Nothobranchius furzeri: one gene and its partners. The protein of the gene in region 3 purifies or fractionates together with the protein of the main gene of each other region. This does not show direct contact. Links are inferred from orthologs where the notes say so. Each region holds a gene or a part of one and is shown on either strand. Other genes may lie near its edges. The genes, in order: bcl7a, ss18 and smarcd2.

What was found.
Region 1: the proteins of smarcd2 (region 3) and bcl7a purify together in Homo sapiens (affinity purification with mass spectrometry; 5 studies listed by BioGRID and IntAct, counting the BioPlex papers as one, with this or other methods). This does not show direct contact. The link is inferred for Nothobranchius furzeri from reciprocal best matches to the Homo sapiens genes SMARCD2 and BCL7A.
Region 2: the proteins of smarcd2 (region 3) and ss18 purify together in Homo sapiens (affinity purification with mass spectrometry; 4 studies listed by BioGRID and IntAct, counting the BioPlex papers as one, with this or other methods). This does not show direct contact. The link is inferred for Nothobranchius furzeri from reciprocal best matches to the Homo sapiens genes SMARCD2 and SS18.

What each region holds. Positions count from the first base shown.
Region 1 is NC_091746.1:40,397,267-40,399,677, reverse strand, and holds the end of bcl7a (B-cell CLL/lymphoma 7 protein family member A), read right to left. Parts: intron 2,076-2,411; coding exon 1,972-2,075; intron 790-1,971; coding exon 715-789; 3' UTR 567-714; downstream 1-566.
Region 2 is NC_091751.1:52,442,491-52,446,147, reverse strand, and holds part of ss18 (protein SSXT), read right to left. Parts: intron 3,610-3,657; coding exon 3,439-3,609; intron 3,143-3,438; coding exon 3,065-3,142; intron 1,129-3,064; coding exon 1,006-1,128; intron 1-1,005. UniProt on the Homo sapiens protein: Appears to function synergistically with RBM14 as a transcriptional coactivator. Isoform 1 and isoform 2 function in nuclear receptor coactivation. Isoform 1 and isoform 2 function in general transcriptional coactivation.
Region 3 is NC_091756.1:35,517,549-35,521,802, reverse strand, and holds the start of smarcd2 (SWI/SNF-related matrix-associated actin-dependent regulator of chromatin subfamily D member 2), read right to left. Parts: upstream 2,835-4,254; 5' UTR 2,434-2,834; coding exon 2,293-2,433; intron 427-2,292; coding exon 233-426; intron 1-232. UniProt on the Homo sapiens protein: Involved in transcriptional activation and repression of select genes by chromatin remodeling (alteration of DNA-nucleosome topology).

The DNA of each region.
Region 1 (2,411 bases), on a different chromosome or scaffold from region 3:
GAATTGAGAAAAAAGACATCCACTACAGCAGCAAATCTATCTCTGTGATCGATTGTGACATACCATAACAGTGCATTGACCCTCCTGAGGAAAAAATAAAAATAAAAAAAACATTTCCTAAACAAACAGAGAACATTAGTCTAACAGGAGGCAGATGGGGAGGATTGAAGTGACTGGGCCTTAGGGTGGAGGTCCCCCCCCCCCGCAGCTGCTGATCTGAGACCAGGTTAGCCCCACCAGTTATCCTGAGCTAAACCACTAGCAGTAAAACAATTAAAGAGCAGTCTCAGAGCAGCGTTCGCGATCGACCTCGTCCTAATCCCAGACCCACTGTTTTCACTCACAGAAGCAGGTCAGTGCTGAGTTGACAGCGCCTCCTGTGGTCACAAAGGGGACCGCAGCCTGGGGTCGGCATTTCTCTTGGCAAAGTAATGTGGAGGACTGTAAGGAAGCACGGAGGGGGAGCAGTGAACAGAGGTAATATCCATCCTCCCTCGGTGGCGGGGGAGAGTACAGGGAGAGAGACGGCCATTCTCTCGTTGGTCTTGTGAGTTTGGGAAGAGAAAAATTGGCAGAAGAATAAAAAATAATAATAAAAAGGGAGTGAGGAGAGCCGGTGTGTCCATTAGCCCTAAATCACCTAGAGTTAATGGAAGGAGGTACAGAGAGAGGGACACAGGAGGATGAGGAGAGAAATGACTCAGCCCAAAATCTTTAGCTCTCCTCAAAGTCCTGAGATGAGGACTCCAGTTTGCTTTTCTTACTGGGCGGGGCCTCCTCCTGTAGGTCCTAGGAGCCAGACAAGAGAAACAAAGTGTGAGATTTTCACCAGAATCCATAACTAAAACATCCTTCTCTTTAAGCGGCTGCATGGTGGAATCAAGATGAGTAACTCCATTTAATTTAATCTGTGTGCTAAACACACAGCTGCTGGAGTCCGGTAAGCTCCAAAAACATGTAAATGTACTTTACATGTGTGCAGAAATATCAGTTATGCTGCTGAGAATGTTAACACTGATGAACGTGTTTTTAAAATGTGCAAAGATCTGCTAAAACAAGACTTCTCTCCCATCCCCAAATCACTTCACTGTCCATTCCTGTTCTCATCTCGGTGGTAACCCAGAAAACTAAACAAATGAGTCCTATAAGGACAGAGTGAGCTGCCCGACTCGTTAGCTGCCAAAGAAAGAATTTGTTCTGTCAGTCGGTCTCAATTCAAAATGTACTCCTCAGGTGAGAAAAGAAACAGTAAAAAAAAACATGTCCAGTTTACTTTGACTCACATCGCTAGCATCACAGATGTTTTTGTTTTATTTTGATCGACGCGTTACTGACCATTAGAATTTATTAATGCATGTTAACCTTAAGAGCCCCAAATACTAATAGATAAGATAATTCACAAAAATATTCTCAAAAGACAAATGGTCAAAGTTTGCTTTTTACGAGTTTATGAAAGTTTTAAATGGAGGATGCAGTTTTTAAATAGGCTCAGTACAGAAGTGTAGCTGATGACCCAATCAACCTTTATTTCTGCTGTTCGTGCCATTCTTTTGCTCGTTAGATGTCAGCAGCGCTGTTAGAGACGGTCTATCATTGGACTGAATTAATTAGGTTCAGTAATATTACACACACAGCAGGAATCTGTCAAAAGGGACGAGCATCAATGTCACATTGTAAATGCCTCGAGGACTATATGTCTTTGGTGCGTCTCTATAAAAATTTCAGTTCAGTTCTGCTGAGAATCGCATCTCAACTCTGGATGAGGATGTGGAGTAGGGCAAGATGGAAGCGATGGTTGTATCAAGTTTATCCTACTCTTTCTAAAGACACGTTTTACACACAAGTGAATTTACTACTCATATTTGTCATTTACCCCCATCCCTTGTTCCTAGAAAGCAGAGTTAAACAGATGAAACTGGCCCCGCCCACATGGTCCCTGCTCCTCTCAGGTGGTCACAGACGTGTTTGTACCTGAGTGGCTTTGCTGTTAGAAGAATCCTTCTCTCCTGAGGACATGCTGTCTCTCTTGGTGCTTGGTGCCCTCTCTGAGGTCTCTGATAAAGAAATGTTCTTACCTGGAATTTAACACAGCAACAAATCAGTCTGACTCATTTAGGCTCTCTAGTGGCACTGTGTGGTTGTGTGGAGTAACTGCACAGTTGGATTAACGGAGCCACAATATGACTGGTCTTTTTCCATGTACAAAAATTAAGAAAATCTAATTAAATGTAATAAATGTTGCCATACAACCAAAATCAGATTCTTACAGAGCCTGCCAGGTACCACATATTAAAAACCAGGCTGTAGAAATCTGTCCTCTTTGTTTAAGAAAGCATACAAACATCTGCTCAGACATCATTCTGTTTGACAGCACGCTACAGATCTATGTTCAGTAAAATTGGGACCAGTTG
Region 2 (3,657 bases), on a different chromosome or scaffold from region 3:
GCAGACGTCACACGCCAGACGACATCAACACTGCATACTTTAGTATTTGTTCATTTATCGTGAGTAATATCGATATCGCAATATTAAGCACTGTTATCGAATATTGCAGGTTTTCCTAATATCGTGCAGCCCTAACTCAATCCTTCAACAAGCTTGACAACATAGATCATGATTGCCCTCCATCGAACCTGTGTGCTTACAGCTCATTATAGCATCCACTTCTAGACGTTTATTTGAGAAACTTTGGGAGGTTTCTGTTATAGTGGACTGTAATAAAATCTGCTGGATGATGGCTCCCAAACTCAAGGAGACATGGAATTTCAGTTTGTCTTCATTAAAGAAGCAAGCATCATTAAAACTAAAAAGAAAAAAATATACATATAGATATTTATATATCTCATCAACCTCTGTTCAGGACTGCCATCTTTCCAGCCGTTGTGAAGGACTGAGGGTTGAAGTCAAATGAGGCCCACGCAGCATCGTTAGGCGCTTGTAATGCCTTGTGCTGCTGTGCATAACCTTGTGGGGGCCTCGGAGAACAGGCATGTGTATGTGCCAGATGGATCTCACCTCAGCCTCTGCTAGCTCATTACTAACATGAGCTCTGGCTCAGATAGCAGCGAGTGATGGGAAATAACAGAAGAAAGATCTTTGAACTTCTATTCTACAAATTCTTCAATGCGTGTATTTATTACCGCTACGTTGAGGTTTGGCTCGGTTTTATCATGGAGTCTAACCACAAGCCAGGGGTTGGGCATATACAACACATGAGCTGTAGAGGAAATGAGTACTTAATAATGTATGAACAGATAACTTTTGCAATGAGAAGAGGAAGCTAATAAGACAGGACTGCAGCTTACTAAGGCAGTCCTTTTATGTTTTGCTCCAGATGATGGTGACATAGCAACTAGCACCTCACTCAAATTAAATCATTCAAGTTAGACGAAGTCCGCCAAGAGAGCCAATGGTGCCTCCTACAGGACAAACGAGTTCCCCAAAACTCACCATAGCCTTGTTGCTGCGGTGGGTAGCCCTGTTGACCCGGGTACTGCTGCTGTGGCGGATAGCCCTGCTGCTGAGGCGGGCCTTGCTGGTACGGTTCCTGTTGTTGGCCATACTGCGCATTACCTTCGAACAGCATCAGCAGGCATTGTTAAAACACACCAAGATTCAAACAAACAAAACCAATGCTAGATGTAAAGTAACTGAGCTCATTTTCATTTTAAAATGTGCAGAAAGTCACAGAATATTTTAAATAAAACCATAAAACTACGGTCTGAAATTCTAAACTAATTCTCTCACTAAAACAGACAGAAACGGATCAGCACTTTTCTAAGTCTAGACATAATTACTTTAGTTTATTTTGAGTTAAAAGTGAACAAACATGACTTGGTGGCAGATTGTACACACCCACACTTTAGATATTTGTTTTCTTGTTAGAAAAAATAAGCTCCATGTTTGAAAGTTCATAGGGAGGAAAAGGGTTATTAGAAGAAAAACAAAACCACAAAAGTAAATGTTAACAAGACAAAGAGGAAGAGTTTTGTACTTTTACCAAGTCAGTGAATTGAACAGATCAAACTGCAAATGTTTTAGCGTCACGAGACATCTACTGTAACCGTCTCATGACACTGTAACAAGACAGTTACGCTAGATGGTAGTTTGTGCTGCTTTTTCAATATTTGTCAGTAAACCTGGACTTATAATTGCTTACAGAAAATGAACATGCAGACTGTATTGCAAAAACTGAAAAAATTAACAAAGTAGCATGTAAAATAAGTATGAGCCATCTAGAGCCTAAAATCCCCAGAATGCATTGCAGAAACTGAAATGTTTTGCTTTGTCGAAGCTAGGGTTGTCATGGTGTGAAAATTTAACCTCACGGTTATTGTGACCAAAATTACCATGGTTTTCGGTATTATCGCGGTATTTTTTTTTAAACGTGCTACATTTTCACACAATTTAATAAACCCTGTATATCAGGAGATATTGTCCTCAGTTTGTCTAAATTTTGCTTAAAATGTGTTATTTTGTAATTATGTTGTTTATTTGTTTACATATTTCCCCTTTAGTCTTTAAAATACCAATATTTGCCCATATCTTCTTATTTTGTCTGTTTGATGTCATCATTTTAAAAATATTAGATCAGATGATACTCAGTACTCAAGTAGCCTTCTAATCAGATACTTTTTTACCCTTACTTGAGTAATAAACCGTATATCAGGAAAATATTGTCCTCGGTTTGTGTCCTTCCAGTGAGCTTTGCAGATGTGGGAAAATGTCATCAGGCAGTAATCATTGTTAAATTCTTAATTATTCTCGGAGAGAGACCAACTCTTATCTGCCCCTGGGAGCCCTGTAATGCATAGCGTCATTTCAACATGGGGTGTCCGTGACACGGTTTATATGCAGGTAGCGGCGCTGCGGCTGCTTTGTATAGCGACTCGTTGCATTCTCCCTCAACCCAAATCCTCGGATCACGCATTCTAGCTAAAACGCTAACGTTAGCTTGCCTTGCGTTGACTGTAGAGTTGCGGGAGATGGTCACGCAGATGTGTCATGAGATTTGAAGCGTTGCTGCCTTTCACAGACACTTTTTCTGCACGTGCTGCAAACAGGATAGCCGTCTTCTATCAACTGTCCCTCGGCATTCTTCAAATATCCAAAAGATGCCCGTACTTCCCACTTTGTCTTCTTTGAGGGATAAAAAATGTCCTCCTGAGCGCTGCCGTCTCCTCCTTTGACCATTATTTCAGCTTTAGCTTCAAGAAAGTTTTGGTTGTAAACAACAAAGCGCGCATGTGCCGCCAGCAACTTCAGCAGATGATACGGTGGCTGGTAAGGGTCACCGCGCCTACACCACAGCCACGGTAATCCACCGAGATAATATCGTTTTTTTTTTAAAAACAAGACGGTTATTATTATTGTCAACTTTTTACCAGGGTTTACCGCTACACCGGTTACCGTGACAACCCTAGTCGAAGCATCGTTTTTGTGTTTTGACTCAACTCCTGGGTTGACTGATTGTCTGTGTTCTCCCAAGTGACTTGCAGGGTTCTCCTACCTTCTGAGGCGCCCTGTCCTGCGTGACTGTACTGGTCGCCATAGTAGTCTTCCTGCCCTGGATACTGCTGGGGGGGTCCTACATACAACATACACACATGTAGATTCAAGGTGCTGTTGCTGTGTAAGGGGGGAGGAGAGGGTAGAGGGGATAGACTCCTTGCTTCTAGTTCATCTTAAAGGAGCTTTCCCTTTGTCACAACTAATTTTACACGGGATTTTGGATTAAACCGTTACTGAACAAGTTGTCTGCAGTCTACAGAAGATGAAATAGAAACAGACTGGGAGGAACAAGAGTGAGAAACACAGGAGGGAAAAGGAGAAGGAAGACCGACACTCTGCTTGGATGTGGAACTGACACACTGAGTGGTTTACCTTGCTGTGGAGGTCTGTAGGGCGGCATTGGCCTCTGCCCCATGACGTGGTTCCCTTGGTTGACCTGACCCATCATACCCATTGGGGTCTGTTGGCCTTGGTAGTGCTGTCCACCACCACCAGGGGGCATGTTGTACTGCTGCGATGGAGGCTGCTGATGCATCACCGGACCTGTCGAACACAACCATGCCCCACAGTGACTTAAACGTGTTGAACTCT
Region 3 (4,254 bases):
CATTTCTGCAGCAGCAACTTGATTTCCATGAAAGCCTGAAGGTGAAATTTAAATAAACATGACATTTCATCGTGACACGTTTAAAGCTAAAGTGTGCAAAAACAGTTAAAACTAACAACCAACTATTATTGTGGACTTTTGCTCTTTTCTGTATCATGAAATAAACTGAGTATTTTTTTCACTTATGTTTATCTGAGTAATTTAGGGTCACAAAACTGGCCCAACAGTTTACCCTCTCCTCAGGCCTCCCATCGTCTCCTGCTGCTGCTGCTGCTGGTGAAGAAAACGCTTCCTGGAGGCATCCATGCTTGGAGATCCCATGCCTGGTCGCATTGGAATGTTACCACCGCCATAGGAAGGACCAGGAAGCTGACCCCCCATTGACCCCATGGGGCCTGCTACTCTGCCAAGTGGCATCCCAGGGCGCTGGAGTAGGAGGAGGAAGATTGAAGCTGTGTTTTTTTTTTAATTGCAATTATTTCCACTAGAATATAAAAAAAGTATTTTAAACTATAAATTAGATAATTAAACAACTGGGCATTTCCATTACCGGAACTTCAGGGTAGACGTGTCTCTACTTGACCGGGCCGCCCAAATGGCCATTTTCAGGAACCTTCTGAGTACCTGATCAAGGGTAGGGACTTGGAGTGGCCTGGTAAATGGCCCAGTGCAGTAGATGAGTGGGAATGCTGCTGATTGTTTGTAACTCAGTCGGAAATCAGGGTGGGGGCGCTGGAATTTCAGCCATGATGCCTGAGCCTGGAAGTGATGTTTTGTTCACTGCTTTTGGTGCGGTCTGCATGTTTTGCACCAATCAATGATGTAACTCACAACACAGCGGTCGCAATGTGCTGACGTTTTAGCAAATTCCTTACCAACCAACCAAGAACCAAACTGTAAATGGAGACACAACAGCTAAGAGGACCGCCCCTTCAGCTCTCCCGGTCAGTTTCCCCCTCGCTGCATTTACCCTGAAGTTCTGGTAAAGGAAACACACCTATTCTTGTAGTAGCATGAGGCATGGGTAAACAATCTTCCAAAAATGTTTATGCTTAAAATGACTACTATTACTTTCCTTTCACCTCAGATGCATAAGCACCCCTTGTTAAACATGGATTCTTGTTCAAAGCTACATTTTAGTTAGTGGTTTGTTTACTTTTTATGCATTTTACAAAAAAAACATTTTAACACAAACAGAAAAAGCTGTTTACATGGTGTTATTTAAATTAATGAGTAGGAAATGCTATCAGTTTCACTTATAACTATAAATTACTTTAGTGAACAATCAGCAAACATCTCAGGTTATGTAGTTCCAAAAACTAACTGCATTTTGACACAGGAACATAATTGAGTTTGTGCAACCAACTGCATTAAAACAAATCACAAATAAGCATCATCGGTGCATCTCTATTATTACCATTACTTAAACGATCCAAAAAAAGACATTAGGACTGTCGACAATAAAAGCAGCTTAACCCATGTTGAGACTGCTCACATGGTTATTACATTCGCACATAGCCGTGCAAATAAAGTTTTTAAAGGCCACACCCGTCACTTAAGAGGCCTTGTGCTCATCAGTGGGGCCCTGCAAAAACTGCTTACAAAAGGCTGAAAAAACATAGAATTAAAGATTATAGATGTGCAAGAGCCAGGGGAAATCCTATCACAATAATATTTTTGTTATATTTGTCGATGTATATCAGGATGCAAAATAAATCACTGCAGGTTTTAGGCGTTTTAGTGGATTTTTATGCTCCACTATTTTATTTTTCCACAAACTTTATACTGTTTGGTTTGAATTCTTGTGTAGCAGAAACGCAACGATCTCTGAATGTGTTGCTGCCTGTCAGCTACACCACACAACGCTGCAGATGGAGGCAACGCTGCAATAATATATGCATGCAGGCTTGCCCATGGGCAGATGGTGGTAATGATAAACTTTTTCTCTAACTGACAAGAGGCCAAAGGCAACCACGTGACATCGATCATTTTTAACTGAATGTAACTTTTTTTTAACCGTATTTGAATAGTATATTTTAAAGGATCTCAGTGATGGGGAGACGCATTTCTAAAAAAGTATTTGTTAAAATGATGCCAGGAAGTAACTAGAGACTTCTCAAAGGCGGAAGCACCACCCACATTCTTATGGGTTATAAATTGATTTCTATTAATATGTAGAGATTGTTTTAGTCATTACAAGCTGTCAGAATGACCAGCTTTATTAACGATAATTATTAGTTTTATATTTTCCACATCATGAAATGTGTTTACACAATTAAAAAGAAACCAAACCTGAGTATACTGGGGGTTGTTCATGCTCCGGCTGTAACCCACCGGGGGCTGCGGCATCCTCATCCCCGCTACATGGCCAACATTCATGGGGTTCACATTCGGATTCATCTGGGGAGCTGGGAAGCCCCCTCTTGATGCCATCTTCTAACTCCACAAGTTGTTTGTTTTAAAAGTGACAGAAACTTCAAACGAAACAAGGTACGATAGGAAGCTGGTGAGTGGACGTCACTCGCGCAGGAAGTCAGAAGAAGCGGTCGTTACCGACCACTAGTGCTGCGGAGGTGATGTCCGGGTTTGACAGCAACGCACACTGTCAACAAAAAGCTAGCTAATGTTAGCTAGAGCGACTGAAGTTCCGGGATCTCCTCCTACCTTATTTTTGCTCCTTCTGTAGACACGGAGCGGTGGACGCTTGTCATATCTCACCCATCTTTATACGAATAAACTGCACCAACAGACTCCACTGTTTCACCGGGAGGCTACCGTGAAAGCTGACAGCGCCTGACTTACCACAAACTACAGTCCTGAAGCGACTTAAAGTACCCTGAACTGCCCACACGCGACACCAACATGCTGCCTTCAGGACAATCGGAAATATCAGTTCATGGGTTTGGCGCTCAATCAACTTCAAAACATATTTTTCAGAAAACACAAAGAAAAATATTTTACCGGTTAATATTCTCTCATTAAAATGAATGCATTTTATTTTTGAGATGTGACCTTTATAAGACATTGCCTTAGTGCACGCCCACTTTCTTAAATGGAAGTAATCACAGGCATTATGCAAACAGAAAAAGAAAGCTGGAAGTCGAAATGTTTCTTATTACTTATTACTGCTGTACCTTGATTACCATTTAGAAATAATCAGTTTCCCCCTAATGTCTTTTAATTGTTTTGTTCTAATTCAAACTAAATTAGGCTACTCTTGATGTTTTATGGCAACAATTGCTTTATTAGAACAAAACAATGTATAATTTAACATTTTTAAAAACTAAACTGATACATAATAGAATCAGTTACTATTATTCTTAAAAATCCACCAACTAGCAAAACTATTGTTCAGAAAATACCTGCTTATTTCAGCTTTCATAAGACGTGCCAAAAAGATAATGTAGTCCAGAAAAAACAAACATTTTTAAAGTTTTATTTTGAAGTTTGCTTGAAGCCGCTTCATTTTACTGGGAGACATTTGTCTTTGGGTGACAAGAATTTGAGGTTAATAAAGGGTGTGCAGACTTTTTCTTTTAGGTTAACTTAAACTGTTCAAATTTGATAAAAATCTAAATGTGACCTACTCATTCAGTAGGTTTTCCCTTAAAACAGGTTGATTGGATTCACCAAACGCTCCCTCTGGTGGTCAGACGAGCGCCTCATGAGCCCAAAGTCTTGTGACAGGTAAGAAATCATTTATTATGCTAGACTGATGAAACAAACTGAGTCATGATAGCAGCATTTCAACTATTAGAATATTTACACTACCACTTCACACCACAGACATTTGCAACCCTTTACAATGTAAACATGATACAAAGACATATTTGAATGCTAGAAAACAAACTGATCTATCCACCAAAAACAAAACAAAAAAACCTGCTTTCTGCAGCTTTCTTGTACAATTAACCGTTCATTTCCTGAACATTATCTGACAAGTTTTCACAGGTGAAAAACAAACAGAGCTGCTCGTGTAACCCTGACCGAATGAAAACAAAAGACAAACCATCATCATGATTGTCTTTGACATTATTTTTAAGGTATGTGATAAAAACAGTGAGGACATTTGAGTTTACCTAATGTCTAAGCTTTTCTGTGTTTTACAAACAAAATACTGCTTGTGCAGATTGTTGCGCTTGAAACGGTTGTTCCTGCTCAACCACTAAATCAGTTTCTCTGGGGAAAAAATATACATAAACAGTCATTTTTAGGACTGAAATTTAAACACAAGTAAAATTAAAAAAACAGTTT